2 linked regions of the Diceros bicornis minor genome follow. The protein of the gene in region 2 purifies or fractionates together with the protein of the main gene of each other region. This does not show direct contact. Links are inferred from orthologs where the notes say so. Each region holds a gene or a part of one and is shown on either strand. Other genes may lie near its edges. The genes, in order: EDRF1 and HSPBP1.

Evidence for each region.
Region 1: the proteins of HSPBP1 (region 2) and EDRF1 purify together in Homo sapiens (affinity purification with mass spectrometry; 3 studies listed by BioGRID and IntAct, counting the BioPlex papers as one, with this or other methods). This does not show direct contact. The link is inferred for Diceros bicornis minor from reciprocal best matches to the Homo sapiens genes HSPBP1 and EDRF1.

What each region holds. Positions count from the first base shown.
Region 1 is NC_080745.1:88,299,898-88,315,903, reverse strand, and holds the start of EDRF1 (erythroid differentiation-related factor 1), read right to left. Parts: upstream 5,879-16,006; 5' UTR 5,804-5,878; coding exon 5,696-5,803; intron 4,715-5,695; coding exon 4,506-4,714; intron 2,324-4,505; coding exon 2,257-2,323; intron 1,588-2,256; coding exon 1,462-1,587; intron 370-1,461; coding exon 245-369; intron 1-244. UniProt on the Homo sapiens protein: Transcription factor involved in erythroid differentiation. Involved in transcriptional activation of the globin gene.
Region 2 is NC_080773.1:33,289,862-33,304,845, forward strand, and holds the start of HSPBP1 (hsp70-binding protein 1), read right to left. Parts: upstream 7,131-14,984; 5' UTR 7,027-7,130; intron 6,692-7,026; 5' UTR 6,599-6,691; coding exon 6,395-6,598; intron 4,158-6,394; coding exon 3,953-4,157; intron 1,927-3,952; coding exon 1,702-1,926; intron 1-1,701. Other genes in the region: serine/threonine-protein kinase BRSK1, read left to right, coding at 11,875-12,010, 13,892-13,986, 14,081-14,166. UniProt on the Homo sapiens protein: Inhibits HSPA1A chaperone activity by changing the conformation of the ATP-binding domain of HSPA1A and interfering with ATP binding. Interferes with ubiquitination mediated by STUB1 and inhibits chaperone-assisted degradation of immature CFTR.

The sequences.
Region 1 (16,006 bases), on a different chromosome or scaffold from region 2:
CCAAATCAGAAATACAAAACGTCACATGGTTACTAAAGTTAACTTACATAACAGTCTACTAGTTTTTAAAATGCAGCTTCTACAATCAAGCGTAAATTTTATTTAAAAAAAGGAATATAAGACATTGAAATGTCAACGATACTACAGTGGCAAAACAAATTATTACTTTATTGGCTTCAAATTAAATTTTAGATCATAATTTCACTTTTCCTCTTAAGATAAAAATAAACAAGGAGCCAAGTACCTGTAATATAAAAACTTGGAAAGAATAGCCTTCTGATACCAGTGCTCTTTGCTTTTTTTCTTCCTCTGCCACTTCTGATCAATAAGTCTTTGATAAAACTCTTTCAGCCATGTCCAATCACCAGTCTGAATAATGTAAGAAATTGATAAAAACAAACCTGTGGTCAAAACAATTTGTTATCTATTACTCTTTTACAGGAAATACTCTCTATTTTTTGAATATTGTTTCATAAACACATACTTACCTTTCTAGACTTAATTCCTATCACCTCTTTTAGGAAATCTCTCTCTCTTCCTTCTCTACCTAAGCCAGGTTAGGAGTCACCTTTTTCCATAACATGTTCTTTAGTGCCTGGAATAAGCCCCACTATGCATACTGTATTGAAATTATCTGTGTATGTGTTTATAACCCCAAAACTGTAAGCTGCTAGGAAGCAAGGACTGTGATTTATTCACTGTCACATCCCAAGACCTGGTCCAGTGGCTAGCACATACATATAGATTAAACTGAACTGTGGTCTTCAAAGGAAAAAACATTTATTTTAAATGTCAATTTAAAATCACTGTAACTTATTTTCCTTTATCAAAGCATTGCAGGAACATTCTTTATTTAAAGACTAGCCTAAGGGACTGGCAGGACCATAAACTATTTGCAAACAGTCCATGACAAGGGAAGTACATAGAAATGGAGAGTAAGACTTGAGAAACTGCAACATTGTTATTATATTTAACAAAAGTCTCCATCATCAACACACTGAGGGAAAAACAGTCATTTACCAACATACAGTTTGAGAAGCTCTGCTTTAAGAGAACCAATTAATTCCAATAACTATGTACTCATAGGAATAACTTTTAACATTTTTCACATTTTCTGGCAGCCATGTTTCATGACAATCTCTTTAATGGAAACATTAAAGGATTTTTCAGAAATTTAAAGTAGGTCCTTAAATTTCAGATTTTTCACAACTTTCCTCATTGGTTTCATCCTTTTCCTTCCAAGAATCCTGGCTGTTGGTATCAACAAAATAAGTTTCTTCCCTGTTCTCTCTATTTTTTCTTTATTAAAGCTTTTTTATCTTCAGTGAAATTTCTCGTCTCTCGATTGTTGAAGTACTCAACTACATTTCCACTTTGGCCTTTCTTTGAAACAAAATCATATTTCTAGTGCCCTTAAGTTGTTAAAACAACGCTTTTCCGGTTGTTTTTCACGAGTATTACCTGTGATGATCTCATAAAGAGTTCTTGAATATCCAGCTCATCTAACAAGAGAGTCCTTCCTATGCGGTGCACTGCCATGCTCACGTGGGACTTGCTGTACGGAATCTTCAGGAGCTTTTTTATGTTCTTAAAAAAATTAAGAGGAAAAGTAGTTTAGAAAGACTTTTTCTAGTGTGATTTGGAATCTTTCAAATTTTAACTTCATTCAATTTTAAAGCACAGTAAACCTTATTTCCCTAAGGTTATACACAGTACTTTACACAAACAGCTAAATACAAACCCATGGAAGACAGAGCTTTAAAATCAGAATCACCTACACTTTATAAGTCATCCGATGTTAATGTAAGTGATGGTCAAAGGTTTATTTTTACATTACAAAACTTCCTAAAGTTAAGCGTGTATAGGTCACACTGCTGCGCTGACCTAGGCTTTTAGCATATCAGATAAAACTCACCAACTAAGGAGCAATAGATTTTGCTAGAAGCATCATTCTAATTCTCAACTGGTCACATTAGACAAATCATCCCAAACATTACAATCACTTGTAATTGCTATTATTAAAATACAACCACCAATATTAATATTATTACCACTGCCATTGTTTTGGGGGTTGCTCCTTCCTCTCTGAAGAAAGGAGATATGGTAAAGACTATTACTTTAATAACAAAAAAAGGCGTCCAATAATCAGATAGTTGTATCTTATTTCATCAGTAACTTTTCAAGACTACAGAACACAGCATGCTTTAAATCCCCAGCAGAAACACCCCAATTACATTCCACAGTAAGGACACTTACTTCAGAGTCAGAGACCACATCCACGTCGTTTCCTACTGAATCGATAAAGTCGTATGCCATACCAAAGCTAACGAAGGGAACAAAGGCCACAAACGTCATGCTCATAATAACGCAAGAAGAGTTTATAACAGAATGCCGTATTTCATTGCTTCCAGGATACACATTTTCTACATTCTAACATCTCTGAAATCAGTATGCCCATCACCATTATAGTTGGCTAGTTCTTCCTTCTTAGTGGTACATAAAATAATGGTGTGACTTAAAATCAATGGCATCTTAGATTTGATAAAATATAGTAATAATCATTAGAAGCAATTAATAGGAAACATCTAGAATAAAAACAGTTAACAATTCTTTTCTTTTTTCTTGGTGAGGAAGATCAGCCCTGAGCTAACATCTGTTCCAATCTTTCTCTTTTTGCTGAGGAAGATTAGTCCTGAGCTAACATCTGTGCCCATCTTCCTCTATTTTGTACGTGGGATGCTGCCACAGCATGGCTTGATGAGCAGTGCGTAGGTCTGCGCCTGGGATCCAAACCTGCAAACCCCGGGCTGCCAAAGCATAGTGCATGAACTTAACAACTATGCCACCGGGCCAGCCCCTATTTTCATTTTTGAATTAACAAAGCGCAAAAAATCTCCAGGAGAAAACAGTTAGCTCAAGATATTATTCTTTTTAGATGGAGAGATAAGAAGAATAGAAACAGAAACATTTATTAGGATTTCAGTCTCTGGGACTGTGTTCCTAGTGATATACAATACTACCCTTTTAAAAAACATATTTGAGGGCCAGCCCTGTGCCACAGTGGTTAAGCTTGGTGCAACTCTGCTTCGGTGGCCCAGGTTCACGGGTTCAGATCCCAGGCGCAGACCTACACCACTCGTCAGCCATGCTGTGATGGTGACCCACATACAAAATAGAGGAAGAGTGGCACAGATGTTAGCTCAGGGCTAATCTTCCTCAAGCAAAAAAAGAGGAGGATTGGCAATGGATGTTAGCTCAGGGCAAATCTTCTTCAGCAAAAAATAAAAAAATAAATAAAAATAAAAAATGTATATGAAAAAAATGCACCTGACACCAATTCAGCCAGCAGGAGAAAAGAAAACAAATGTTGTACCAGGGACCATGAGAGGCAAATCTATAATCTACAAACCTGAAAAGCAGCTGAGGTGACCACTTTTCAGATAGTAAGTGGCAGAGAGTCAGGATACTTACCTCTGACAGCCTCACCTCAAAGCATACTCTGATGATTTACCACACAGTCTAGGCAAGTTAGTTAACCTTTTCTAAGCTTCAGTTTTTCCATGTGATAATTAGTTAACAGTACCTAACTCAAAGGGTTGTTGTGAGAATTAAATAAGGTAAACATATAAAGTACTTAGAGTGTACACAATCAACAATTATTTAAATCACCTCATAACAGTTAATTATGTTGACATATCATAATTTATTAAGCCATTCTTCTAAAAGAAGATATTTGGACTATTTCCAACTTTTTGCTAGTATAAATAATGCTACAAACAAATATTTTGCAAATATAACTTTTACCTTCTGAGGCATTAGGATAATCTCCAAACTACTGGCTTATAAGATATTAATGTATTTATGGCTCTTGCTGTGTTATGTGGAAATATTTTAGGTTCAATCACTGAGAGGAAAAAAAAGAGAACCCCACACATTAAATGGTGTACAAGAATATGGACATTAGCACATTTATCTCTATAAGACCCCTGGCCACTCTCTCAACTTTAAATACCACCAGCAGAATTTCCAGCAAGTGTCAAAGTCAAGGGCATAGGTCACCCAACAGGCTGGGTTTCTACACCAGGCTGTTTCAGACCAGACAATCCACCACCATTTAATGCAAAACTCCACAGGACAGATTAGGCAGCGTTAAGGGTTTTCCTCCTCCTGTGCCACTCGACTCTTCGTATCCACACATTCAAAAAGCACGTAAATTGGCTAAAAATAAAACAGCTGATTGAATTTTAGTGGTCAAAACTCAGCTTTGTTAATAACATGATGAAAACTCAACAGAAGCATATGAAGTTGATATGTTCATATAACAACATAATCATATTAGAACGAAAAAAAGGACTCCGAAAATCAAACATGATCTTCTTCTAAAGAGAAACCTTGCCAAGTTGATGAGCATTACCAATTAAACTGAAAAGCAAGTATTAGAGTTTGGGGGCAGGGCTGGGGGGAGGTTTGAGGGACAAGTAAAAATACCACTGATTGATATTTACCTTGAAAATGGCTTGCTTTTCTTACTATTGCCAAGAATGGTGGTTCCTGCTGGCCCTAGTTTGGCACTCTCTCGTAACCAGTTGGCAGGTGGGAGTTTCAAGTCTGTTTTCTCTTCAAGGCGTGCAAACGCTGTTCGAGGAGGGGCAGAAGAGTATTTCACCACAGCTCGGCTCTTCACTTCATTGCCTCCAAGAAATAAAGCTGACCCCTAATTAACATATTGAATGACACTTTAATGAAAACTCCTAGAAACGAAAAATCTCACCTTTATAAAGAGAAAAAAAACCCCACCACATCAGGCTTCACAAGAATGTATGCTATGTGTTAGTAACAGCACTTAATAAATGCGATCATAGACGGTCACATTTACTTAGCTCTTTTTCACATAATTTCAAAGAAAAAACATGAGTCAAAGAGTATGATGGCTATGGTTATCTGCTAGGAAACAGGCCAACCAATCTACCTTTCAAATTTTATTCACGAACGTGGAAAAGCAGAAACTAAGGAGAGTCAACAGTGTCACATTAACTAAATGCAAAATCTGACAGAATCCTCTGTTCTGCATTAAGGATGTATTTTAATTTCAATAACATACATCACTTAGAAAGTAGCTTGTGGTAAGATATCTGGGGCCTTTTCCTTTTTAAGCAAACTCATAGTAACTGATTCATCAGGTCATTACACAAACACTCTGAATCTCGGACTTCACAGCGAGGCACTGGGGTTCCTCACCTGCACTCCCCCAGGCAAGCTCGGCGTCTGAGGTCACTGTTTTAACCTCCTTGCCCGCAGCCCCTTCCCGGCCTGGCAGACACTTTGCACCCTGCAAGTGTCAGCTCAGTCCCCTCCCGGTGAGCTCCTCCCCGACGCCCTTCCCTTTCCCTGCAGCTGTGCACGGCTGTGCCGCATGCTGGAACCGCGTATTTACCGGCACGCTCCTCGAGAGCGGAGATCCCAACTCACCTGTCGGTTCCCCCCAGCAGGAGGGCAGGACTGCTTCTGATACGAGTGACTTGCACGTAAATACCTGGATACCTGGCGACAGGCACACGGGCTTCCACTCCGTGTGGGGCTGTCGGGGAGGCGTGGAGAAGGCGCCAGAAGCCGCCGGGAACCGTGCCATCCCTCCCCGGGGGAGCGGGCCCGCAGCCCCCGGAGCCCTGCAGGTCCCGCCCCGCGCTGGACTCACCTGTGCCGCAGGTTCCTCGGACTCCCCCTGGGACAGGAGGCTGAGCCCTTCCCGAGCAGCGGCTCCGGCTGGCGGAGCCTCGGCCCCCGCCTCCTTGGAGTCCCCCATCACCTCGGCCCACGGAAGGCGAGGAGAGGCGGGACCCAAGGAGCCGCCACAAGAACCGGGCCCAGCCGCGCAGGAGCACAGGCGAGCTAGCGCCAGAGCCGCCCCGCGCACTGCACTTCCGGTCTCAGGAAGACAGGAAGGAGTTGCGGTGACGCGTTCAAATCTCGCGACCTTTGTGCCAGAGGCCCGGCCCCGCCTCCCGCGGTGGAAGCCACCTTCGCGGCGGGGGCGGGAACCGTAGTGCGCCTGCGTCTGTCAGAACCTCCTCGGGAGACCGCTTCTCGCGGTATCTGGTTCCCAGGCTCCACCCCTTGCACGCCGCAAGTCTTTGTTGGCAAACTTCTGCCGGGAGATTTGTTTCCGCGTGGTTGTCGCTGTGTGGGAGGGGAAACGCTGCTCTCCGTGTAACCAGGGGCTCCCGTTATGTCAAGTAGTGGTGTTAGCCCTCCCCTCTCCTGTAGTCCCCCTCGGTTTAGAAACGGGCTCAGGCTCCGGAAGGGAAAGATGTGTCCAGGTGAGGGGCAGGCCAGCTCAAGGCCGCGCGGACTGGGCGTCCTGCCCCCGCATCACAATGCCTGTGTGGCCCCACAGTCTCGAGTGTAGGAGCGGCGCTGAGATGCGCAGAGGAGGCCCTCTGCCTTTACCTAAGAATGGATTTCAGAAGTGGTGGCACCTCAACAGGGTTTTGCAAGGTGCCACGTTTGCTGCTTAGTGACTGGTGGAGTATCTACGGAGAGCCCTCTATTCGTCAGGCCCCAGGGAACTAGCAAAGAGCATTCTAGGTGGTACAGGGGCTTCTCAAGTGTTAATGTGCATAGGAAACACCTGGGGGTCTAGTTGGCATGCAGATTCTGATTCAGTAGGTCTGAGATGGGCCTGAGGTTCTACATTTCTATCAGTCCCAGGAGACGCTGCCAGTACTCTGAGTAGCAAGGAGGTAGAGAAATAACCGGACCGTTGTACAGGTTTGAAGGTGTTAGGCTCTCTTATCCTCGGACTGCACACCCAATATCTTAACAAGCTTAGTTAAATGCAGCCACATCCTTCATGAAAGTTTGCTTAGTTTTGCGGTAAAATATTGGAAGCTTTTTGAAAAATTAGTTTTGCTTTGCAGTTATTTGGCTATCTCAATTTGTAATTTACGTTAGGCTCTGGTAACTCACTATGTGCATATTTAGAAATCCTTGTGACTGAGCAAGTTCAACTTACAAATTATTTTCAAATGTAACAAAACATTTTTATGAATTATATTTAATAATGAATTTGATATAATAGTATGTTTTGTAGACACTTTGCATGTATTGATTCTGATACTTAATCATTTCCTGTTTGTATTTTGCAGTCAATTCTTTTTGCAAGTAATATATTGTTATTATAGTAAAAAGTTGAACGCAACTTAAATATCTAACATTAGGAGGATGGTTCAGTCTGTTTTTGGCACATAATACCACTAACTTGGGCAACTATTAACTTGTTTTTCAAGAATATTCAAGAACCTTTAAATTGTACATGGTATGATGTTAAATGATAAAATTTTAAAAAGCAAATATGCAATGTCATCCTAATTTTAAAAACGTCTATTTCTGTGTCTATGTCCATAAAAACATATCTCTGAGTGGTAAAATCAAGTGATTTAAAATTTATTCTTTAAAATTTTATTTTCCTATTTTTTCTCTCTGATTATGCATTATTTTATAGTAAAATATAATTTTTATTGTTTTTAAGCATATATAATTTAGCTTCTAATAATCTTGTTTTATTATATAATTCTATCGTTGTCAAAAGAGATTTCCTGAGGTAGCAGTAATTCTTTGTTCAGGACTCAAATACATTGCAGGCCTCTTGAGAAGTGTCTGAACCTTTGTTGATGATGCTTAGTGGGAAAATGTGTTGGAAACAACCTGTGAAAAGACAGAGAATGAAACAGAGAGAGCCAGGAACTCGCACAGAAAAAGGGTCAGCAGCAGAGAGGATCATGGGAGTGGAGGGTCCTCAGGCTGGGGGACCAGGCGCTCCCAGGAACTACTTGTGGAGGAACCCTGAGGAGGCACGAGGTTTCCTGGGCCACTAACAGGGCTAGGACTACAGAGATTTAGGAAGTAAAGGAGACGATCCCTTAGGGCAGAAGAAACTGGGCACATCTGAGTTACATAAATTTTATACATTTTTCTAGCTCTGAGTGCTTATTTTTTCTTTTCCCTATTCAAAAACTTTGCTTAAAAAAAAAGTTTTTTTTTTTAAAGTTATTATCATTATTTCTAATGTAAATGATTGAAATATAATATTGTGGGAAAACATGGATCATTACTTCCAGAAGTTCACATTTTAAGATGCTTATTTCTGTTCATTTTTATATTGCATCAGTGTCCGCCTTCCCCCTCCCTCCCTGTCCCCCCAGCTCCCAGCCCTGCAGCTCCCAGGATGTACTTCATCATCCATGGCCTGCTCTGCCTGTAGGTGCAGGTATCCTGGCTCTTGTAAGCAGTCATCGCTCTCATGTTTACCTGCCTCCCCAGGGCCTGATGCTCTTGCCATTTAAGAAATGTCTGTTGAATGAATGAACTGCTTCTAGTTTTCTGCATCAACCAGTTGTTCCGTAAGTCTGTGTTTGTTGTGCTTTCCCTCTGTCTAGAATACCTTTCCTTCCTCTCCTGGCTTATTCCTCAAGACTCATCTCAGGTATCATCCCTAATAAGTCTCTCCTGACTCCTCCCCCTCCTTACCCCTTAGAGTCCCTTTCTTTGTTCCCAAAGCCTGTATGTAGCTTTATCCTGCACTTGTCACTTTGTAGAAAAATCACCTGTTTGTGTCTGCCTCCCTTGCCGACTGTGAGTTCCTTGAGGGCTAGTGCCCTGTCTGATCAGCTCTGTTTCACCCACAGCAGACACAGCACCTGCAGACAGAACTGTTTTAGCCCTGAGGCGATGTAGGTAAAATGAGTAGTGCCAACAGGCTTTTAAAATGCTTATCAGAATGTTTGAGACACAAAAACAGTGTTGTTGGCTCCAAAATATTTTTTTAATCTGCAAAATCAGAGCTAAAAACGTTTAATGAAGTATCTCCAAAACATTGCAGTGTCAGTGTCATTAATTATTAAAGTCAGTATTCACACACAGGTGGTTCCATTCTAAAACAATTTGTAGGTTAGACTTTCTCTGCTTACAAAAATCTTCCCAGCACACATGATGATTTCAGAGAAATGCCAGTCAATCGTACATTCATTTGGTTACTCGCAGCACGCGGTATTTTCCAAAGCAAAATTAGATATCTTTTCAAAAACTATTACAGTTATAGGTAAGGCAAATGTGCCAAGGTCCACAGAGTTCCTAAACAGCCCCGCCTGCGAAGAGCAGAACATTCAGGGAATGCTTAGATTGTGACTTGTGCCCCTCAGTTTGCCACAGTCCCCCTCCGTGACCTAGTGTCTTACACCTACCCAGCCTCACTTGTTGACTTTGCCTGCTGCACGTTGAAAAGCCCTGAGTTTCTGACTCCTGGTCCTGGACTCGTAGAGCTGGAAGAGAGATTTGAGATGATCTGAGCCAATCCTGTCCCTCTTTAGATGAGAGCAATGCAGTCCAGAAAGGAGAATAGAATTAACTTGTTGAATGTCATACAAAGCTAGTTTAATAGCAAAGACAGGACTAGCATGTAGGTCTCTGACTCCCCAGTAGCCTTCTAAAAAGTTAAGTTGCAGATATAGGCTAGTGGAACTTCAATTTGTTTCAGAATCGCCGAGGAACTTGTTATGTGAGCAGATCCTCTATCCACCTCCACATTGTAAACTGATATCTCTAGGTAGGCCAAGGAATCTACATTAATCTACATTTTTAGTGAGATTACTAGTGTCTGACCACCCTGGCATGTAGACCATGTCTTAGAACAGTGACCTCTAAAGACAATCCTCTGAGGTGCAGGAAGAACTATAACTTCCTTTTCTTTTAATCTGAAAAGTCAGGGCAAAATCAAGCCTTCCTAATACTTAATACACAGGTTGACACAGGTGCCCTTTCTTGGGCCATGGTCAGCTAGTGTATGGGTCAGGTAAGATTGGGATACGCAGCCGAAACAAACAATCCGCAAATGTCAATGACTTACAACTAGGGTTGCCAGGTAAAATACAGGCTGCTTTGACGTTTTGAATTTCAGATAAACAGTGAAAAAATTTTTAGAGTAAGAATGTTCCAAATATTTAGTAGAAGTGTGTCCCAGGCAACATTTGGGTCATACTTTCACTCGTCCATGTAATCTTTACTCCAGGACCCAGGCTGATGAAACAGCCTCAATCTGGAGCGTTGCCAGGTGGAGTGGTGGAGTGACCAAGAGATTGGTGAACCAGAAACTATGTCCTAAAGCTTCTGGTCAGAAATGCTAAACATCACTGCTCCTTGCTTTTTTGGGCACCAAAATGAGACATATGGCCAAGCTTAGCCTCAGTGTGGCAGGGAAGACTAATGCTCCTCCTAAGGAGGGGGACTGGGTATCTGCGGACCATTATGCAGTCTACCACAGCATATGGTGGTTTCGGTGGGCTATCTGATGCCATCCACATTTGGTGACAAAACAAGGCCTTTAGGAGAATCTTTTCAAAGTGTGGTAGTAAGATGAGGGGTGACCTTGAAAATCTCATGTACCACACAGAGATCACAGATCATCTTGTGACAAAGCACTTAAAAGAATTGTCAAGCTTAGAAAATGAGTTACTATATTTTCTTTTACAAAAAGTGTTCCACATTTCCTCATCTTTTCTGTGATGACTAGCAGCTGTCATTAGGATGCTTCAGGCGAGAGTTGCACAGAAATAAACAGAGTTAATCTGTTCCTTCAAGATAAAGGTGATGTTTTAACAATGAGTGAGAAAATCATTGGTTTTCAAAAGAATCTTATCCTATGGAGAGAGCATTTTTGAAAATATATGTTTGGAAGTCTTTCCAACATTATGTGATTTTGTTGCTAAAAATGACGTGTATCGCTTATAAAAAACTCATATCTGCACACTTAACTTTGAAACTGAAATTTCTAACCCACTTTAAAAATCTCCCAAATGGAGAGTTTGCATTTTAAATATATTGAGGAATTCTAAGGAGGACAGTGGTGCAGATCTGGCTTTCCTAAGGAGCGGAGAGCTAACTCGAAGGAGATAGCAAGTCTCCTGTGCTCCTCAGCCACACTTTCAGGGCTTTGGAAAAATCTATCCACATCTTCATTGTTTTCTTTGATACCACTAGTTGGCCTTCTCAGAATGCCCAGACTGATCTCTTTGTCAGCCGTGAAGTGATCTGTTTACTCCACAAATGTGCCTGCAGGATTCACTATTCCCAGGCTGCCAGCCGAGTTCTCCTCTCTCCTCCCTCTTGTACCTCCTGTTTTTAATTTTGTTTCATGACAACTGTCCGTTGACCTTTCCTCTTCAGGTATGAGTAAATAAATTGCATATAAAACAACAAACTAAATATCTCTGAATTATTCCTTGACGCCATTTAATTGGTTCATAAGAAAGACTGATGGACTTCAAAGAAGATGGAATTTAGCCAAATTTCAGTTAAAACCTTTGCATAATTTGTGGATACAAATGAAATGCGCAGTTGACTTGGTAAGCTCTGAGACCATGTGATTCTTCCTAGTTAGTTTACTTATCTTTTGAGATATTTTAAGCAATGGCAGCCATTAAAACCAAGTTTTAAAATAAACTGAACTTAGGACACTTCAAATTGTTACATGGCAAAGTTTTCAGCCAAGAGTCATAAGAATCAAAGAAACCTATTCGACCACTTTACTCTCTTTTAAAAAATATTAGAACAGAACCATTTGCAGTTAAAATAAAAATATTGTAAATATTGATTGCTTTAGACTTTAAAAAGTTTCTACTCTTGTATTTTTATGTTAATATACTACTGCGAGTATATCTTTTACAAATAAATACACATATATTGGGGCAGCATGTTCAGAAATATATATATATTTTTTTCTGGTGAGGAAGATTGGCCCTGAGCTAACATCTGTTGCCCATCTTCCTCTTTTTTTCTTGAGGAAGATTGTCCCTGAGCTAACACCTGTGGCATTCTTCCTCTATTTTGTATGTTGGAGACCGCCACAGCATGGCTTGATGAGCAGCGTGTACGTCAGTGCCCGGGATCTGTACCCGTGAACCCCGGGCTGCCGAAGCGGAGCATGCGAACTTAACCACCAGGCCACCGGGCTGGCCCCCAGAAATATTTTTCATAATCATGTGTAATAAGAAAGTTTATAGACTACTACTTTTAGAAAGACTATTTTAAATGCACCATGGTACCCGAAACCACATGCTAGCTACTCTTTCAGTCAAGAACAAGTATCAAGTTAATGATCTATATTTTCCTTTACGCCTAAATTTGACAACAGTAGAAAAATTTTAAAGTAAAAACAATGCAGACCTTGATGTGCAATTTATCAGTGTAATAGCAAGGCACTCTTGGTTGCAACTATGGGATACCTTATTTAATTATTAGGTGATAATTATTTAATTGCTCCTCTGTAGACTAATAACATTTAAGCAAACTATTTGAAATTATTTGGAAACCATTTCAACTGCATTTGAAGGAGTTCCTTTTCTAGGTACCCGATGAACTCAAATTCTTTTGCAAGCTATTAGAGCTGACTTTCAGAATATAATGCAAGTGATTGTAGGGGCAGGTTGTCTCTGCTAGGTATTACTTTCACAGCAGAAATGTTCTTCGAGTCTTGGTGAGCTTTATCCTCTGATGCTGATTATTACCCTAAATGAATCCCAGGAACAGTTTCAAAGTCACTCAGGACTGCTCTTCAGACACGTGTTGGTGGCTGGAGTCCAAGCGGTTATTCATGCTGTGCATACTGGGCTAAGGGAGGGAAGGAAAGAATTCCCAAATGAATCTTCAAGTCAATCCTACAGTCAGGCGCTGCTTGTGGGTCCCCTCTGCCTTTCCAGTTAAGGGCTTGCCCTGTGCAGACCCTAATGAATCATTTAGCTATTACGCATTTACGAGGAGGCCGCCAGTGGAGAGAACAAAAAGAAGGCATCACTAAGTGAAAAGTGTCGTGTCAAAGCCGCAGACTGGAGCTTTTTACTAAACATATCTACATTTGTCTTCCTTGTGGGCATTGAAGAGAGCTATTTTACTTTCTCGGTGTCATTCAGTCACTAAGCACCCAGTAACAGAACCCATTGCGTGTGAATGTTGGGCAGAATGGTAACTACTGGATGAACCACGGGTGTTATCCACATATGACAATTTTTTACATATTTACGTTTTTTTCTCTTTAGGAAATGGAGCCAGAATCCACAGATGTCATTATCCATCTGCACACTTTTGTTTACTGCCCAGAAGGCAAGAATATTGCATTTTAAAAGTGTCTGGACTTTTGTTCTTTCTTATCACAAATGACTTGGGAAGCTCTGGCCATTCACATGTACCCGGAGCGAAAGTGCAAGTCAAAGCCTGGCTTCCTGGAGAGCTTTGAGATTCTGGTACAAAAGGCATTTTATGAGCACAAAGTGGAAAAGCGTCATTTATGTTCATTTGCTGCTGTGGCATTTCTCTCTGGAATCTTCCTCTTGTCTGTCAACATTGTGCAAAAGGACTGGCCTCATCTACATTACAAATATCATTCTTTTAGTGGTTGGGAAGTAGGAAAGAGCAGCACAAGAGTGGGAGGAGAAACTTAAGCTCTCCCGTTGAAGGGTCTCAGGCTTGTTTATCCCTAAAAATGGTTGTACATACTCGGTATGGATATTATGAATTGTTTGGAAAGACCTGAGCAGCATCTTGGCTGCAGTTAATGTTTATTATCTGATTGCAGTGACCCATGGGAGAATCACAGCTGTAGGGAAGACCCTCTGAAGGGTCAATCAGAACAGAACCTCCTGGGCAGAGGGTAGCTGGCCTCCACTGCCGCAGGAAGGCTTCCAGAGTGAAGAAATTTCCACCAAGATGGCTCCTGTGACCTGTGGCAGATCTTTTCTTGTAGGGGGCCCTGCTTGGTGTGATTTAAGAAGCATCAAGGACTCTCTGTCCCAGAAGATCTCAGTGTGTGCCTTATCTCACACACAGGTGAGGGTTGGCCAACTGGATTAGTTGAAATAGAGCCTGGCTCTGAGGGCCTCCCATTCCCATCTGGGAATGTTCTAGAACATGGGGCATTACCCAATAGGCAGAGCCTGGGATGGTATTACTTGGGTGAAAGTTCTGAGTGTGTGTATGTCGGGGCATGTAAATGAATGAGGGGCCTATAGATGCAGGGACAGAGACGCGCGGAGGGCAGGAGTGCTGCCACAGGGAAGGATGGTACCCAAAGGGTGGGGAACCCATATTCCAACCCCTTCCCTCATACCTCTGCCTGGGACCTCCTCTGAGTCTGCAGATCAGCTGCTGCTTCTCCTCTTCCTTTGCCTTCTTTTTCAAATCTTTTAATCACAAAAATTTCAAATACATACAGTAAAATGAGCCCCATGTTTCCATCGCCATTATCCACTTTGAACAGTTACCAACACATATCCAGTGTGCTTCCACCTGCCCCCCCTTCCTAGGATTATTCTTGAAATGAGCTCATCCTTAATCCTTTTTAATTTAATCCCCCCTGTTGCATTTTTCTGGCCATTTCCTTCTGTTCTGTCAATCACTGTCTTAGGTTAGTCTGCCGGGTTGGCTATGAAAAGACACATTTCTCAAGAGAGCCCTAAGCAGTTCTGAGAGAAATGTAGGGATTGACCAAACAATGTACGCTTAATTCAATCCCATCCAACAGACACTGAGTCCTAGGCACAGCGCTGGGTTAAAGAAATCAGCAGAATAGGACTCCTGACCACAGGGGCCTAGGATCTAGTTCTGGGGCGAGGACAGGGCTGAAGCAAGAACTCAGTAATAAACGGCGGTCTGCGACCACCGAGGAAGAAAATGGACCAGGAGTGGTGGAGGTTCCAAGGCAGGAAAGCACATTGGGCTGGGAAGGGTGAGGGTCCAGAGTGGTCAGGAAGGCTGTGGAGCCTGAGGTGGTTGGGGAGGGACTTGGAGGGTTGGGCAGAGGGTAGGACGGTGAAGAAGAGACGCTTGCCAAAGTGTGGAGGTGGGAGTGGCCAGTGGGGTGGTGCGTGGGAACAGGAGAGTCACCCAGTTGGCTGCAACACATGGTGCAGGGGGCTTGGTGAGAGGAAGGGGGGTGGGGTTTGGCATGAGGGGGCAATTGGTTCTGTCTAGGTTAAGAGCTAGACAATTCTTATTTCTATGTAAGGAAAAACAAAACTGGATTTCTAGAAGCATGGCTATGAAAAACAAGCTCCAGACCACAATTAGGAAACCAAAAGAAATCAAGGTGCGCTTAATGGAAGTTAGGCAGCAGAGGTAATAAAAGAAAACTCAGGTAGCTACCTAAAATGAAGTGGACTCTGGGTCCACTAGCCAGGCAACATGTATTTTTTTAAACCTATAAATGAACTTGTCTGTGACTTCCCACTCCATAAAATGTAAATTAAGCCATCGTCCTTTTCCACTGAGTTCTGAAATATATGGTTTTTACCTTTGCGAGTGAACTAACTACATGGACAGACATTCTGGCGTTGCTTCCATGTGAGGGATAGCAAAGAAGATGGAGAGCTTTGGCAAAATGTTCACATTTTGTAAATGAAACAGAATAATAACTTGATTTTTCAAAAGAATAAGGTTTTCATTACAAATATAAGCACATTTATGTTAGAAAATTCAAACAGCAGCAAAACACAAAAAGGCAAGAAAATGCATTGTCCTACTACCCAAAGAACAAAATTTTTAATACTTTGGTGTCACATTATGATTTTGGAACATGTTTTAAATACTGAGTGACTTCAATGTTCATCCCTCCTCCCCCCAAACCCCTCATTCATTGTGCTTATCAGTGAGATTTGGCATTAATATTTATATCTCTTTTGACTTTAAGAGTCAATTCTCCTTTGAACTCAGATTTCGTGTGGGATACAGGGGATCATCTTGATATTAAATGACAGAGAAAATTTATTCTCTGATATGGGTGAAACCAGCTCTGTGCCTATTTTTTTTTTTTTTTGTAGGGTCTGGGGAAAACTATAAATGGAGGTCTGCACAGTATATGTCTAAATATCTGTAGTTATATATTAAGCCAACAAATTGTTAATTATGTTCTAGTCTCCTTCTTTGATTGACACACCTTCATCACAGCCACCCCTTGGAAACTATT
Region 2 (14,984 bases):
GGCCTGCGGAATGCACTTTCAAGGAGGTGCCAGCTCTTGGGCAGGCTTTAGGCCAGGGCAGACGGGAGCCACGAGAAACCCGTAGCTGCTAACTACCTGACATGCGGCAAGTGTGACCGAGGCCCTGAGTCATTAATCTCATTTGAGTGTAATTCATTTAAACTGAAGGTGAAAAACTGAAGCAGTGTTAAAATATTTTCCCACTAGACACAACTTTGTCCCCTCACCAGAACTACCCTTTACGCTGACCGCTAAAAATGCAGCGTCTGAGTTGAGATGTGCTTTAAGAGTAGGTTTCAAAGACTTAGCATGAAAAAAGGTGTAAAGTATCTCATTAATATTCCATATTAATGATGGGTTGAAATGATAATATTTTGGATATATAGGATTAAATAATATGTTATTGAATTTAAAAAAAAAAAAAAAAAAGAACACCCAACAGGGAGAAGAAGACATGACGAGCCTCCACATCCCTTCACTCCCCTTCACGACATATCCAGGAGCAAGCGCTTCCCTTTACCCCACGGTCTCTCCACCAGGCACAGCTGACATTTGGGGCCGGATCATTCTGTGCGGTGGGGGCCGCCCTGTGCACTGTAGGATGTTGAGCAGCAGCCCTGGCCTGCAACTTCTAGACGCCAGTAGCCCCCAGACCCCCACTTGTGACAAGCAAACGTGTCTCCAGACATTGCCTGATGTCCCCTGCAGGGACAATCGTCCCCGTTTCAGAATAGCTGCTTCGCTCCCCGTTTATCTCTCACCTAGGTTATCACTGTGACGTCCTAACCAACCTCCCGCCTTCCATCGCCTTGTTCCCTTTAAATGCACCTTGGTTCCTGCCATCGCAGTGAAAAGCCAAAGTCATCGCCAAGGCCCACACGTCTACCTGAAGAAGGCTAAGCAAAGGGAGGTGCAGGGCGTGCATCCCCCCTGGGACTCCCTCCTCCCCACTCCAACCCCCCACCCCGTCCCGTCCTCTGAGCTGTCTCACACTCCTCCATCTGACCCTCTCTTGGTCTGCATCTTTCCAAAACCCTTTCTCTGTGGAGACGAAGAGGCACACAGGAGCGGCGGCTGGCAGGGGAACCTCTGCGAGCCTCCGTGCCCTCACGGGTGGAGCAGGGGGCGCAGTGACGTCAAGCAGGAGCCAGGACACCATGCCCTGCAAATGGCTTGTAGCACCAGGCTGGCCATTCTAAGAACTTACCAAATGGTAGCTGCCACACAGTGGCATGCCCTGCAGTCACCCCCCACCAAAAAAAAAGACAGATGCCACTGGAATGCGCACTTTACAATGGCCATGTGAATTTTACATCAGTTGAAAAAAAAAAAGGCATTGCAGTCCCTGGAGCTCCAGCCTGGCATCCTGGATCGCTCTCTGGGGGACGCCAGCCGCCAGGTTGTGAGGACACTCAAGCAGCCCCATGGAGAGGCCCCCCTAAAACAAGGAATGATCCGGCCCCAAATGTCAACAGTGCCGAAGCTGAGAACCCCAGTGGGCGTAGAGCACTTAAGCTGAGCTGCGTTCCTCCGCAGGCAGGATCTGGCTCTCTGACTAGCAGGGGGTTTGGCAAGGTCATTGCTCTGTTCCCAGCACAGAGACCCGACAGGTGCTGGGAACAAACGGACAAATGAGGCCCCTCTCCTCTGCCCCCAGCCAGGGGAGCCGTGCCCCTCCCAGGCAGCCCGAGGGATACTCACAGGAGATGGCGAAGAGGGCCTTGACGCGCACCGTGTCACAGGAGTCCCGGTCCAGCAGCCGTAGCAGCTTGCGCAGGGCGCCGAGGCCCAGCACCTGCTCCTGGATGGCCGCCACGTTCTGGCTGCACGTGCCGATGAGCTGCGCCGCCCGCCACCGCAGCCCCGCGGGCCCCGCCTCCAGGTACCGGCCCACCAGCAGGTGCATGCCCGACAGCTGGCAAAAGTCTATGCCGGAGAGACGGGAGAGGGAGGCCTGATGTCAGGGCTGAGCTATGTCCCCCCCAAATTCACAAGTTGAAGCCCTAACCCCCCAGCCTCAGAATGTGACTGCATTTGGAGAGAGGGCCTTTAAAGAGGTGGGTAAGGTGAAATATGTCACAGGATGGGCCCGAATCCAGTATGACTGGTGCCTCATAAGAAGAGGAGATTAGGACACAGACACAGAGGGAAGACCACGCGAGGACACAGGAAGAAGACCCCTATCTACAAGCCAAGGAGGGAAGCCTCAGAAGAAACCAACTCGGGGCCGGCCCAGTGGCGCAAGCGGTTAAGTGTGCGCGCTCCACTGCGGCAGCCCGGGGTTCGCCGGTTCGGATCCCGGGCGCACACCAACACACTGCTTGTCAGGCCATGCTGTGGCGGCGTCTCATATAAAGTGGAGGAAGATGGGAATGGATGTTAGCCCAGGGCCAGTCTTCCTCAGCAAAAAAAGAGGAGGATTGGCAGACGTTAGCACAGGGCTGATATCCTCACAAAAAAAAAAAAGAAGAAGAAACCAACTCTACCAACACCTTGATCTCGGACTTCCAGCCTCCAGGACTGTGAGAGAATAGATTTCTGTTGTTTAAGGCTCCCAGCCTGTGGTGCATTGCTTGACAGCCCAAATGCATGGACTAATACACCACGTGAGGCTGGACGGGCGGCCGGCTCCCAGGTGACCTACCTCCGAGTGCTGGCTCTCTCCCAGCACCCAACCGGGGGCCCCTCCAAGGCCGGTGTGTCTCAACAATGTCAGCATTTAGGGGGTCAGGGTCCCAGGCTCCAGCCCACTAAATGCCATTACTGACCCCCAGTCTTTGTGACAATCAGAACATCCCTTGTGGAAGAAGCACACACAAGACCAGAGGTGAGCAAAGTACGGCCCATTGCCTGTTTTGTAAATAAAGCAGTACTGGTGAGCTTGGCGGTTCCTCAAAAAGTTAAACACAGAGTCACCATGTGACCACGCCGACATGTATATCCAAAAGCATGGAAAGTAGGGACTCGAACAGATATTTGCACACCAAGGTTCACAGCAGCATTATTCACGATAACCAAAGGGGGAAATGACCCAAACGCCCAGCAGCTGATGAACGGATACAGCATGTGGACTAGCCACACAGAGGAGTATTAGCCAGCCACAGAAAGGGATCAAGTTCCAGTACAGGCTACAACATGGAAGAACCTTGAAAATGTCACACTCGGTGAAGGAAGCCAGTCACATATTCTATGATTCCATTTACATGAAACCTCCAGAATAGACAAATCCAGCCCTCAATGACTACACCGTGCCCCTCCAAATGGAAGTGAGGTCTCATCCTTCTACGGGCTCCACAGCATTTGGAATAAAACTCACCGCGCCTACCTCGGCCTGTAAGCCCTGCACACCCAGCATCACTTCCTACCCCTCATCCCTCACTCCACTCTGCCGTGCTGGCCTCACTGCTGTTCGTGCACACGCCAGGCACATTCCGACCTCAGGGCCTTTGCACTGGCCCTTCCCTTTGCCTAGGATGTTTTTTCCAGAGCCAGTCCCACAACTCATGCCCTCACTTCCAGTCTCTGATCAAATGTTGCCTTCTCTGACCACTCTGCCCAGAACCGCCTCCTCTCTCATGTTCTAGGGAATGATGGTGGACTCCCAGCCGACGAGGGCAAAATGGCCAGTTATCAGGGAGGTAGTGGACTGAACCTGCTGCCAGGCTGGCTGTGTGGGGTGAGAGCAGGTGCCATCACTGCTCCTGGTGGCAAGGGGCCAAAGCAGGGAGGGACAGAGAAGTCCCATCTGGGGCCTGAGTTGGAGCCAGACTGGAGAGGCAGAGGCTGGAGGCTGGGGAGCAGGCCGGCAGCGTGGTCCCTGAGACAAAGGACAAGGGCTGAGCCGCAGCAGGACACGGGGCTGAGGAGGGGGCAAGAGACAGAAGGGAGACCAGGAGGCAGAAGGGGCAGGGCCCTGGCAACTGGGCGGTGCGCTGGGGCGGGCCCGGTGTACCCGCTGCGTTGTCCATGTTTTCACACAGGTCGGCCAGCAGCTCCAGGGCCCTCTCGCGGTCCTGCTGGTCGGCAGCCAGTTCAGCCTCGCTGGCCGAGGTGGGCGTGGGCTGGGACAGCACTCGGAGGCAGTTCTTCATCTGCTCCACCTCCTCCCTCTGGCCCCGGAAGGCGGCAGACATGGCCTCCTGCAGCCACTGGCGCCTCTGGGGGACGAGGAGGGGCGGAAGGGTGGGGGAAAGAAGAAAACCTCTATCAATAATTAATACATGAATAACAGTCGTTAATAATAACGGCCAACATATGAGAGCTGACTGTTCCTTCAATCAACAGATATCTATTGAGCATCTTTTCTACTGACAGACTCTTTTCTAGACACTAGATCTACAGAGAGACTGGCTATGGGGTGTGAGAGAAAGAGAGGCACCAGGGACTCCTAGGTTCTTGTCCTGAGCAACTAGAAGAACATGGGGAAGACGGCTGGAGAAGCGGGTGTGGATGGGGAGGAGCAGAGATTAGAGCTCTTTTCTTTCTTTTTTTTTTGAGGAAGATAAGCCCTGAGTTAACATCTATTGCCAATCCTCCTCCTTTTTTCTCCCCAAAGCCCCAGTAGATAGTTGTATGTCATAGTTGCACATCCTACTAGTTGCTGTATGTGGGACGACACCTCAGCACGGCCCGACAAGCAGTGCATCGGTGCACGCCCGGGATCCAAACCTGGGCCGCCAGTAGCAGAGCACGTGCACTTAACCGCTAAGCCATGGGGCTGGCCCCAAGAGCTCATTTTTGAACATGTTAAGTTTGAGGGATCCATTATACACCCAAGGTAAAATACTGAGTAGGCTGCCTGAAGCTCAGGGAGGCAGTCCAGCCTAGACCTGGATTTCTCACTCTCGGCTCTACTGACACTTTGAGCTGGATGTTCTCTGGTGGCGGCCATCCTGTGCACTGCGGGATGTTGAGCAGCATCCCTCGCCTCCACCCACTAGATGCCAATAGCAGCCTCCCCAGTTTGTGACAACACAGAATATCTCCACATGCTGTCAAATGCCTCCTGGGAGACAAAACCGCCCCCAGTAGAGAACCAGTGACCTAGAGATATAAACTTGAGAGGCATTAGAGTACAGCCCCAACACAACATGAGGTCACATGGGCAGTGAGCACTGATAAGGGCAGAGTCCTGGTGTGCTCCATCACTGAGAGGCTGGGGAACCAGGAAGAACCAACAGAGGACATGGGGAGGAAGGGCAAGTGAGTGGGATGAAAACCAGGACACTGTGTTGTTCTAGAAGCCAAATGAAAAAAGAGATCAAGGAGGGGGAGAATTCAAATGCTGCTAGTAGGTCAAATAAGATGAGAGCTGAGAAACGGCCACTGGAATTTTGTTTTTTTTGGCCAGGCCCTGTGTTGAGTGCTCCCATGAGGGCTCTGTAGTCACAGTCCTGGATAAATGCGGGCAGGATGCTTAATCTTTCTGTGCCTGTTTCCTACCTCCCTGTCCTAAAGGTTCAATGACATCATGGATGTAACTGGATTAGCACAATGTTTCGTCTACTGTAATCGCCACGGCCACCAAAACATTATCAACAGTCGCGTGCCGCATAACAACATTTCAGTCAACGACGGATTGCATATACGACGGTGGCCCCATGGGATTAGTGCCACAGAGCCTAGGTGTGCAGCAGGCTATACCATCCAGGTTTGTGTAAGTACACTCTATGATGTTCGCACACTGACAAAATCGCCTGACCAGGCATTTCTCAGAATGTATCCCCGTTGTTAAGCAACGCATGACTGTGTAACAAATATTGCTATTCATCTCCAAAACCACCCTACGAGGTATTATTGTTATCGTCCCTGCACAGATAAGAAAATCGAGGCACAGAAAGCTTATGACTTGCCCAAGATCACACAGTCAGCAATCCGCAAAGCCTAAGCAGCCTGTCCACAGACTGGTGCTCTTAAGGAGAACAGTCCACTGCCTTCAGGAGCACAGCCTACCTGTCGGGCACTGTGTGGGGCCCTACTTCAACTGCATCCTCAGAACTACTCTAAGTAGTACTGCTGTTCTCATTAGCATCATCAACCTACAAATGAAGAACTTGAGGCTCAGAGAGATTAAGTGATATGCACAAGGTCACACAACTGGATAATGCTGAATCCAGGTCTGTCTGGCTCTGGAGACCCTGGCCTTTTCTTTTTACCATGAAGCTATTCTGCCTCCCAGCACAGTGCTGGGACCCAGGAATCTGCCTCTGCAGACACTTCTGAGATCTGACCTTCAGCCTACAGTAGCCCATCTGGCACAAACATAGCGAACTATGCCTTCACACCTGGACTCCTGCCGCCTACCCAGGAAAACCCCAGCTTCTAGCCCCCCAAGCCACACTTCCCAAGATATATCTGTCCCCACACCCCTCACCCCAGCTTCCCCATCGCTTACCTCCTCACTCATGGGTTCCGGAGGGGCGTCTGGCTCCTCAGAGCCCGCCGTGATGGCCATCTGCAGCAGGCCCTGGAGGTTGCGCGGGGGCGGGGGGTTGCCCGAGCCCCCCGCCGAGGAGCCGCCGCCCCCTGACGAGCAACTCTGGGAGGCCGGGGGCAGCGCCAGGGGCAGGCGGCTGCCCGTCGAGTCTTGGTTCGCCATGGGCTGTTTGTGAAGAAGGGAAGGATGTGCTGGGGATAGGAGTGGTCACCGCTGAAGTAGCTCTGGCGTCCTGACGGGTTGACTCCTGGGGGTCTGCTGAGAAGGTGGCGTTTTAGGGGAGCTCGGCGCGCCCCCATCACCCCGAACCACTCTGCCCACACCCCCCTTAACCACAGTCCCCTTTCCGCCCTTCATACCAACTGGACCCTTCCCCAAAGTCACAAGCCCCTCCTTCCTCCCTAATAACAGGCCCCACCCACTCTCCCTAGCAACCTAGCAACCCCCTCCCCCATCTCCACTGCACGCGTTCCCGTCTCTTAGCAACGCCACGGCCCTGCCTCCGTAGCAACAAGCCCTCCCTTTGATCGTCAGCAACAAATCTCCTCCTTCCTCTCCGAAGACAGGAGCCAGAGCGGGGCGAACCTCACCTCCCCGGGAGCGAGTCGCGACCGCTACTAAAAACAGAGTCGCCCGCACCTGACTCTGGTGGGCGCCGCCATCTTAACCGGAAATACGCAGATCTCTCCCGGAAGTCAACGGAGCACCCACCCAACTTCGGGCCGTAGCCGGGGCCGAGGCAGCTTGCCCGCCTCTTAAGTCCTTCCCACCAGGCCCAACGCTGCGCTCGGCCCCGCCCCTCACGTAGGCCCCTTCCCTCGCCTCGCGCTCAAGCCTGGATTCCACCCCTCAGTGAGCCCCGCCTCCTCATCCTCATTGCAAGGTCCACCCCTGCCCTGGTGTAGGCCCCGCCCCCAGGCCTGGCTCCGCCTCGGCTGGGCCCCGCCCACCCCCACCTGTCCCGCCCCTTTCTAAACTCTGCCCCGCTCCACCACCTCAGGCTCCGCCCCGTCTAGGCCTTTCAGCCTCTCCCAGCTAAGCCCCGCCCCTTCCCTAAGCCCAGCCCCCATACCTGGAACGCCGGCCCCGCCCCATCCCGGCGCTGCAGGTTGTGGGGCTCCCTTATCCTCAGGCCTTTTCCCCTCTACCTGGGCCCCCACCCCATCTTTTACTGGAGCCCTGGGTTCCCACCCCTAATAGCTGACCTAGGCAGCCTTTAACCCACCCCACCCCCCCCTTGGTCTCAGTTTCCCCATTTGTCAAAGAGGGCTGCCCATTCTCTACACTGCAGCTCCTGTGCGGACCCCTCGTCACCCAGCTTCTTCCTCCTGGAATCTTCCCTGGGTCCTGCCAGGTGCAGAGGACAGAATTCTTGAAGCCGAAAGCTGAGAAGTAAAATGCCCAGGCCAGGTGGTTTGGGAGGCTCGCAGCCTCTGCGCATCAGGTTGGAGCTCAGGTCTGGGCATGTGCTTGGTCTGTGGAGGTGTTTGCTTTGGGCTGGACTTAAAAAAACCCTAGTTCTGGTCTGCTATAAGATGCCCTCCAGGTCCAGGAAAAGGTTGTACTCAACTTCAGGTGGGGATCACAGTCACAGATATATTGAGCACACTCAGGGCCAGCCTGGTGGCGTAATGGTTAAGTTCATGTGCTCTGCTTCAGTGGCCCGGGGTTCAGAGGTTCGAATCCTGGGTGCAGACCTATGCACCGCTCATCAGCCATGCTGAGGTGGCATCCCACATACAAAATAGAGGAAGATTCACACAAATGTTAGCTCAGGGCCAGTCTTCCTCACACACACAAGAAAAAGGAGCACACTGCTAGGCTTGGGGTGTGTGGGGTGATATTTTGGGCAGAGATGGGAAGATAGAAGGCATAAGCCATGTGTGTGTGAGTGTGTGGTGTTTGTAGCACTGAGGAGGATCACTATCCGACAGGGGTCTGGGTCCCTGGGTACCCTATTGTATTAGTTTCCTATGGCTGCTGTTAACAAAGTACCGAAAACTTGGTGGCTTAAAACAACATAGATTTATTATCTTGCAGTTCTGGAGATCAGAAATCCAAAATGGGTCTCACTGGGTTAAAATCAAGGTGTCTGCAAGGGCTGCGCTCCTTCTGGAAGCTCCAGGAGAGAACCTGTTTCTTTGCCTTTTCCAGCTTCTAGAGGCCACCCGCATTCCTTGGATTGTGGCTACATCGCTTGGGCTTCTGCTTCCAACGTCATCCTATCTCCTTCTCTGACTCTGACCCTCTTGCCTCCCTCTCATAAGGACCCCTGTGGTTACATTTAGGGCCACCCAAATAATCAGGATCATCTCCCCATCTCAAGATCTTTAACTCAATCACATCTGCAAAGTCCCTTTTGCCGTGTAAGGGGACATATTCGCAGGTTCCGGGAATTAGGACATGGACGTCTTTGGGGACCTGTTATTCAGGCTACCACAGTTATGTACACCTATGCCCAAATCTATTTATCTATAATTTACATATATGGTATTTACATAATACCATATACGTACATATAACATGTAATTATATGTAACATTATATATATAAATATATGTATCATATGAGGGTAGCCTGGATGAGAACTCCCAGGTACCCTATAAAAGCCATGGCCTTTACAATGACCTATCAGTAGAATGACCATATAATTTTCCACCCATAGCGACACACTTGAGAGTGAAAACAGACCCTGTTAATAATTACAGAACACCAGGCATAAACCAGGACATATGGTCACCTGCTTCTAAGGCCATATACGATCTGCGTCCTCATCTCGGTTCCTCTCACTTCCCCTCGCTCACTCCCCTCCAGCCACACTGGCCCCTTCCACGTTCCAACAACACGCCAGGCACGCTCCTGCCATAGGGCCTTTGCACCTGCTGTTCCTCTGCCTGGAAGGCTCCCAGTGCTTTATCCACATGGCTCTGACCCTCACTTTCCTTCAATATCCCCTCACCGGAGAGGTCTCTCCTGCACCGTATCTAAATCATACCCCACTTAACAAACACTTCCTGCCCCTTCCCTGCTTTAGTCTCCTCTTCAGCTCTGATCATGATCATCTAACATACTGGTATATTTTGCTTGTTTTTCTTGTTTCTCGCCTCCCTCATCCACAGCAATGGGAGCTCCACAGGCCGGGGTCTTTGTTGATTTGGTTCACTGCTGTGCCCTCCCCACTTGGGAGAGTGTCCGGCTCAGACGGCACTCCATAAAGGTTCATGGAATGGAGGTGGTTGACTAGGAGACTAAAGGCTCACGGGTAGACTCTATAGAGGACTTGGGGATGACATGGGATCGATCCTAACACCTTTGGGTACTTGATATAGGGGAGTCCTGGATTACGTGGAAATCTGGTGGAGGCTTGTGGATTACCCATGGGCTGAGCACAGATCCATGGATGTGCTACAGTGGAGATGTACGATTATATGGGGGCCCACATGAAGATCAAGGGGACCCTGTGGTGGACACGGAGAATACATAGGGGTCTCAGAAAATACAGAGAGGCCTCAGAGGGTTCTAGAAGTTTCTCTGTGGGAGCAGGGAGGATCCTTGATGGAGGTATGGAACCAAGATGATCTGAAAACATGCACCCTGGGCTGTGGGGTGGATATGGGGCTCTGATGCTGGTGGGGAAAGGGGGCCTGGGAAGTTTGCAACTCCCAAAACTCTTTTCCTCTCTCTGCCTGTCTCCCCCTTTCTCTGCCCTCCAATCTGTCCCCATCTTCCCCAGCATCTAGCCCTCCACCTGTGTGTATCCCCCCATTATTTTGCTGTCTGCACCTCTATCCCTCTCCTCGTCCCTCTCTCTCTGTAGCTCTCTTTCTACATCTGTCTCTCCAGCTATTTTCCCCCCGCCCTCCACCTGTCTCTATTTTTCCTCCCCCCTTGTCCCTTTCCATCTCTCCCAGTTTCCTCCTGCTCTCTGACCTTCCCTCCTCTGTCTGCCCACCTCCCCCCACAACTTTCACACCTTTCCCTCTCTCTGTCCCTGTCTCTGCTTATCTCCACTTCTCTCCCCCTTCCCTCCATCTCTCCAAAGCTTTGTATCTCTCTGTCATCCCCTCCATTTCTCCAGGTCTCTCCCCATCTCTCGCTCTGTTTTCTCTGTTCATCTCTCTTCCATCTGTCTCTCCATATCTCTCTGCCTCTGTTTTCCCCCAGTTCCCTGTCTGTCCAACTCTCTTGTCCTTCACCTCTGTCTCTCTCCATTTCTATCTCTGATTTTCTCCATTTCTGTGTCTCCCCATGACCATCTCTCCTTTCTCCATCTCTGTCCAACCATCTCTGTGTCTCCCCATGACCGTCTCTCCTTTCTCCATCTCTGTCTCTCCATCTCTGTCTCTCCCCATGACTGTCTCTCCTTTCTCCATCTCTGTCTCTCCATCTCTCTCTCCTCACCACCATCTCTCCTTTCTCCATCCCTGTCTCTCCATCTTTCTGTCTCTCCCTATCACCTTCTCTCCTTTCTCCGTCTCTTTACTCTCCCCCATCTCTCTGTCTCTCCACCGCCTCTGCTGTTCTCCATGCCTCTCCCCTATCTCTCTGGCTGGACTCCCTCTTTCTCCCGCATGTCTGTCTCTCCAGGTCTCTGACTCTTTCCACCTCTGTCCCTGTCTCTGCTTTCCTATGAGTCTCTCACCACCTCCCTGTCTCTCTGTCTCTCCTGTCTCTGCCCATCTCCGGACTCCTCCTCTCCCCTCCTGCCCCAGCCCTGTCTCTGGTTGCCTCCATCTCTCTTGCCATGTCTGTCTCCTTTTCCCCGTGCCTATGTCAGACTGCATCTCCCTTTGTGTAGCTCCATCTCTGCCCCTGTCTGTTTGCTCGGCGTCTCTCTCGCTCCATCCTCTCTCCTCCTGCATCCCTCCCTCCCTCCCTCCCTGCATCCTCCCACCTCCTCTCCATCCCTCCAGCTCCCGGGCCCGCCCCCTGCCCCCGCTCCCCTCCCCCTTCCGAAAGGGTTAACTTTGGGGAAGGGCCCGGAGTCCCCGGATGGTGATGTCAGCGTGCCGGAGAGAAAGGACGAGGTGGCGGGGGGAGGCGGAGAGGAGGAGGAGGCGGAGGAGAGAGGGCGCGTGGGGGGGCGGGGGGGACCTCGGCCTGCAGCATCCGCCGGCCCGCACCTCAGACCCCCCCCGGCGGGGGGAGGCGCAGGAAGGGGGGGGCCGGCCAGGGACGGGCCGGGGAGGGGGGGCCGCGCAGCCCCCCCGGGCCATGCTGACTCCCGGGGCCTGACCCCCCCGGGCCAGCCCCCCCTCCCCCAGCTCCGCGGCCCGCCGAGTGGGGGGGCCCAGCCCAGCCCCCTGGGGACCCCCGGAGAGGTGGGGGGCAGCCGGGGGGGCCGGGACGGAGCGGTCGCCGGCCCCCACCGGAGAGACGGGGCTACTGGCCGCAGGGGGGGCGGCCGGGGGGCCAGTCGGGCCGGGACCAAGGGCACCATGTCGTCCGGGGCCAAGGAGGGGGGCGGGGGCTCCCCCGCCTACCACCTCCCGCACCCACACCCACACCCACCCCAGCACGCCCAATATGTGGGCCCCTATCGGCTGGAGAAGACGCTGGGCAAAGGACAGACAGGTGAGCCAGGGGAGGGGACACCTGGGGCGGGTGCAGGGGAGCTGGGGGGCAGAGGGCGGGACTCATGGGTATGCAAAGGCTGCCCAGACCCCTGGGTCCCTCACAGAGAAGGCACTTGGGGGTCAAGACGGCTGAACCCCCAGGATGAGGGGTTGAGAGCTCAGACTCTGGGGTCCTGGGGAGGAGGGGCCTAGGGGCCTGGATTCCTCGGGTGAGGTCTGGCGCCTGAAGGCTCCCGCCCCGTTGGGGCAGAGGTTGGAGGGGCTCCCTGGCCTCCGTGGGGAAGGGAGGCCGGCCGCAGCGGGACCGGCCGTACTGGGAGCAGAGTTCCTTGCTGCAGTACAGCCGCAGACTGGGGTGAGGTGGCGGGATGGGGGTGCACCCCAGGAAGCCGCTTCCCTCTGCACTGTCCTCTAGCCAAAGAGGGCCTCAGGCTCTCCTGGCAGGCCATTGGGGTGACAGGGGGAGGCCAGGGCAATGGGGTCTACAGCATTCTTCCCCTTCTCCAGCATGCTGGCTCAGTGTGGGGACCAGGAATGGAGAGGTGGAAAGGTGGATGCAAGAGGCGAATCCCCCAGGAGTGGCTGTGGAATGGGGGGGTCATCTTTTGCTGTTGCTAAGCACTGGCCACCAGCACGGCCTCTCTCCTGCCAGGTGGGGGGTGGGCAGATGTGAGGCGGGAGCTGCACACCTGTGTCCTGGGCAGGGGGTCCACTGGTGGGTCCAGGGTCTGTATGAAGCTGAGGGCCAGGGTGTGAGGTAGGAAGGAGAAGAGGGTCAGACCCCCAGATCCTAGTGGTAAGAGTGTGAAGGTGTTGCTGACCTGAATTCTTGAGTTATGGGTGAGGAAGAGGCCATGGATCTGGACTCCTGGTCTGAGGGAGGAGAAGCTGGGGGCCTGGACCCCTGGGTCTGAGGGAGGAGGGGCTGGGCGCCTGGACCCCTGGGTCTGAGGGAGGAGGGGCTGGGCGCCTGGACCCCTGGGTCTGAGGGAGGAGGGGCTGGGCGCCTGGACCCCTGGGTCTGAGGGAGGAGGGGCTGGGCGCCTGGACCCCTGGGTCTGAGGGAGGAGGGGCTGGGCGCCTGGACCCCTGGGTCTGAGGGAGGAGGGGCTGGGCGCCTGGACCCCTGGGTCTGAGGGAGGAGGGGCTGGGGGCCTGGACCCTTGGGTCTGAAGGAGGAGGGGCTGGGGGCCTGGACTCCTGGGTCTGAAGGAGGAGGGGCTGGGGGCCTGGACTCCTGGGTCTGAGGGAGGAGGGGCTGGGGGCTTGGACTCCTGGGTCTGTGGCTTTGGGGCTTACCCTTGGGGTTTGCATGCTGCCAGCTGCATCTGCTATTAAAAGTAGATCAAAGAAGGGGATTGAGAGGTCAGGGTTTCAGAGAAGGTGGAGGAGGATGATCTGGGAAGGGGGCAAAGGTGCGATTATATTCCTTGGGAGACGTGAAGTCTCTAGATTAAAAGGCAGAGAATTGAAGGAAGTGATGGGTTGAAAGAGAGAGAGGTTTGAAGCAGGCAGAATGAGGGAGACAAAACTATGGAGACTCAGTGAGGAAAGAATATGTAGAGAGATGAACTGAAATGGGCACGCCAGAAGGGGAGAGAATCAGATTGAGAATCAAGGGGTGGCTGTGGAGGGGAAGGCAGGTGGGTGATGGACAATCGGAAGGAACAGAATTGGGCAATAGGAAGCAGGAAGAGAATTGTGTTTTGTGGGAATGGCGGCTGTTGGCCCGCAGAAGTTCAGGTGAGAGTGATTCAGGCCACTGCTAAACAGCCAGCAGGGCAAGAAGGAGGAATTGAGGTGGAAAGGGGAGCTTAGGAGCCACAGCGGGGAGGATGCTCTGGGAGTACACCCCACATCTTCAAACCTGCTCCCCCAGGGCTGGTTAAACTCGGGGTCCACTGCATCACGGGCCAGAAGGTCGCGATCAAGATCGTGAACCGGGAGAAGCTGTCCGAGTCGGTGCTGATGAAGGTGTGTATGTTGTGGGGGGACCCTTTGGGGCTAGGGGGAATGAAGGGAGGCCATGCTGACCTCCACTCCTGTGTCCCACCCCTCGGTCCCCCAGGTGGAACGGGAGATTGCCATCCTGAAGCTCATTGAACACCCACACGTCCTCAAGCTCCATGACGTCTACGAGAACAAGAAATATTTGTAGGTATTTATAGACACCCAGCCCCCCATGCGCCCTCCCCAAGTTCCTAGGGTGGGACTTTTCCGCAGACAGGGCCTGGAAGCCCACTCTCAGCTGGGCCAGTGAAGGCCCAGTCCCTTCCCTACTCCCTTCCCCCACAGCAACACCCCCGCACACACACATAATCCTCCTTGTTTCCACACTGACCTGGCCTCACGCTAAGGGTCGAATGTATCCCAGCGACAGGACAGCTAAGCCGTACTGAGTCGGGGACAGAGGCTGATCCTCCCCCTTCCTCCCAGCCCCAGTCCCCTGCCCTACTGCACTGCAGGGCGCACGCCATACTGGATAATCTGGATGGCCTCAGCCAGACCCAACTTGCTAAGGACAGATGCTCCCTGTTGACTAGGGGCCGTGAGCCCAGTGAAGGCCGAGGCCCAGTGAAAATCTTGCCTCTTTCCAAACTCCCACTCTGGAGCTCCCCCCTCCTCCCCCAACATAACTGTGGATGCTATGACTGGAACCCCAACAATGGGCCTCCTTAGAAGTTCTGAGTCCGTATCTCAAAGTCAGTTACCCCCCAGGAAGGATGGGGGTGGGGTCCAGCTGTCCCGACTCCACACAATAGGCCTTTGTCTGGACTCTGGTGACCCAAGGGACAGCTGGGCTGGGCAGCGGGAAAGGGGACAGCCCCCCTGCCCCCACCACGCAGTCCCCAGGGTGAACTGACTCCAACACCCATCATATCCTGGAGCGGGTTTCCCTAGGCAGGAAGCTGCCCTGGCCCAAGATGCTTGTGGGAATTGTAGTTCTCAGGCTTCCCCAGGTGTGGTGGCAG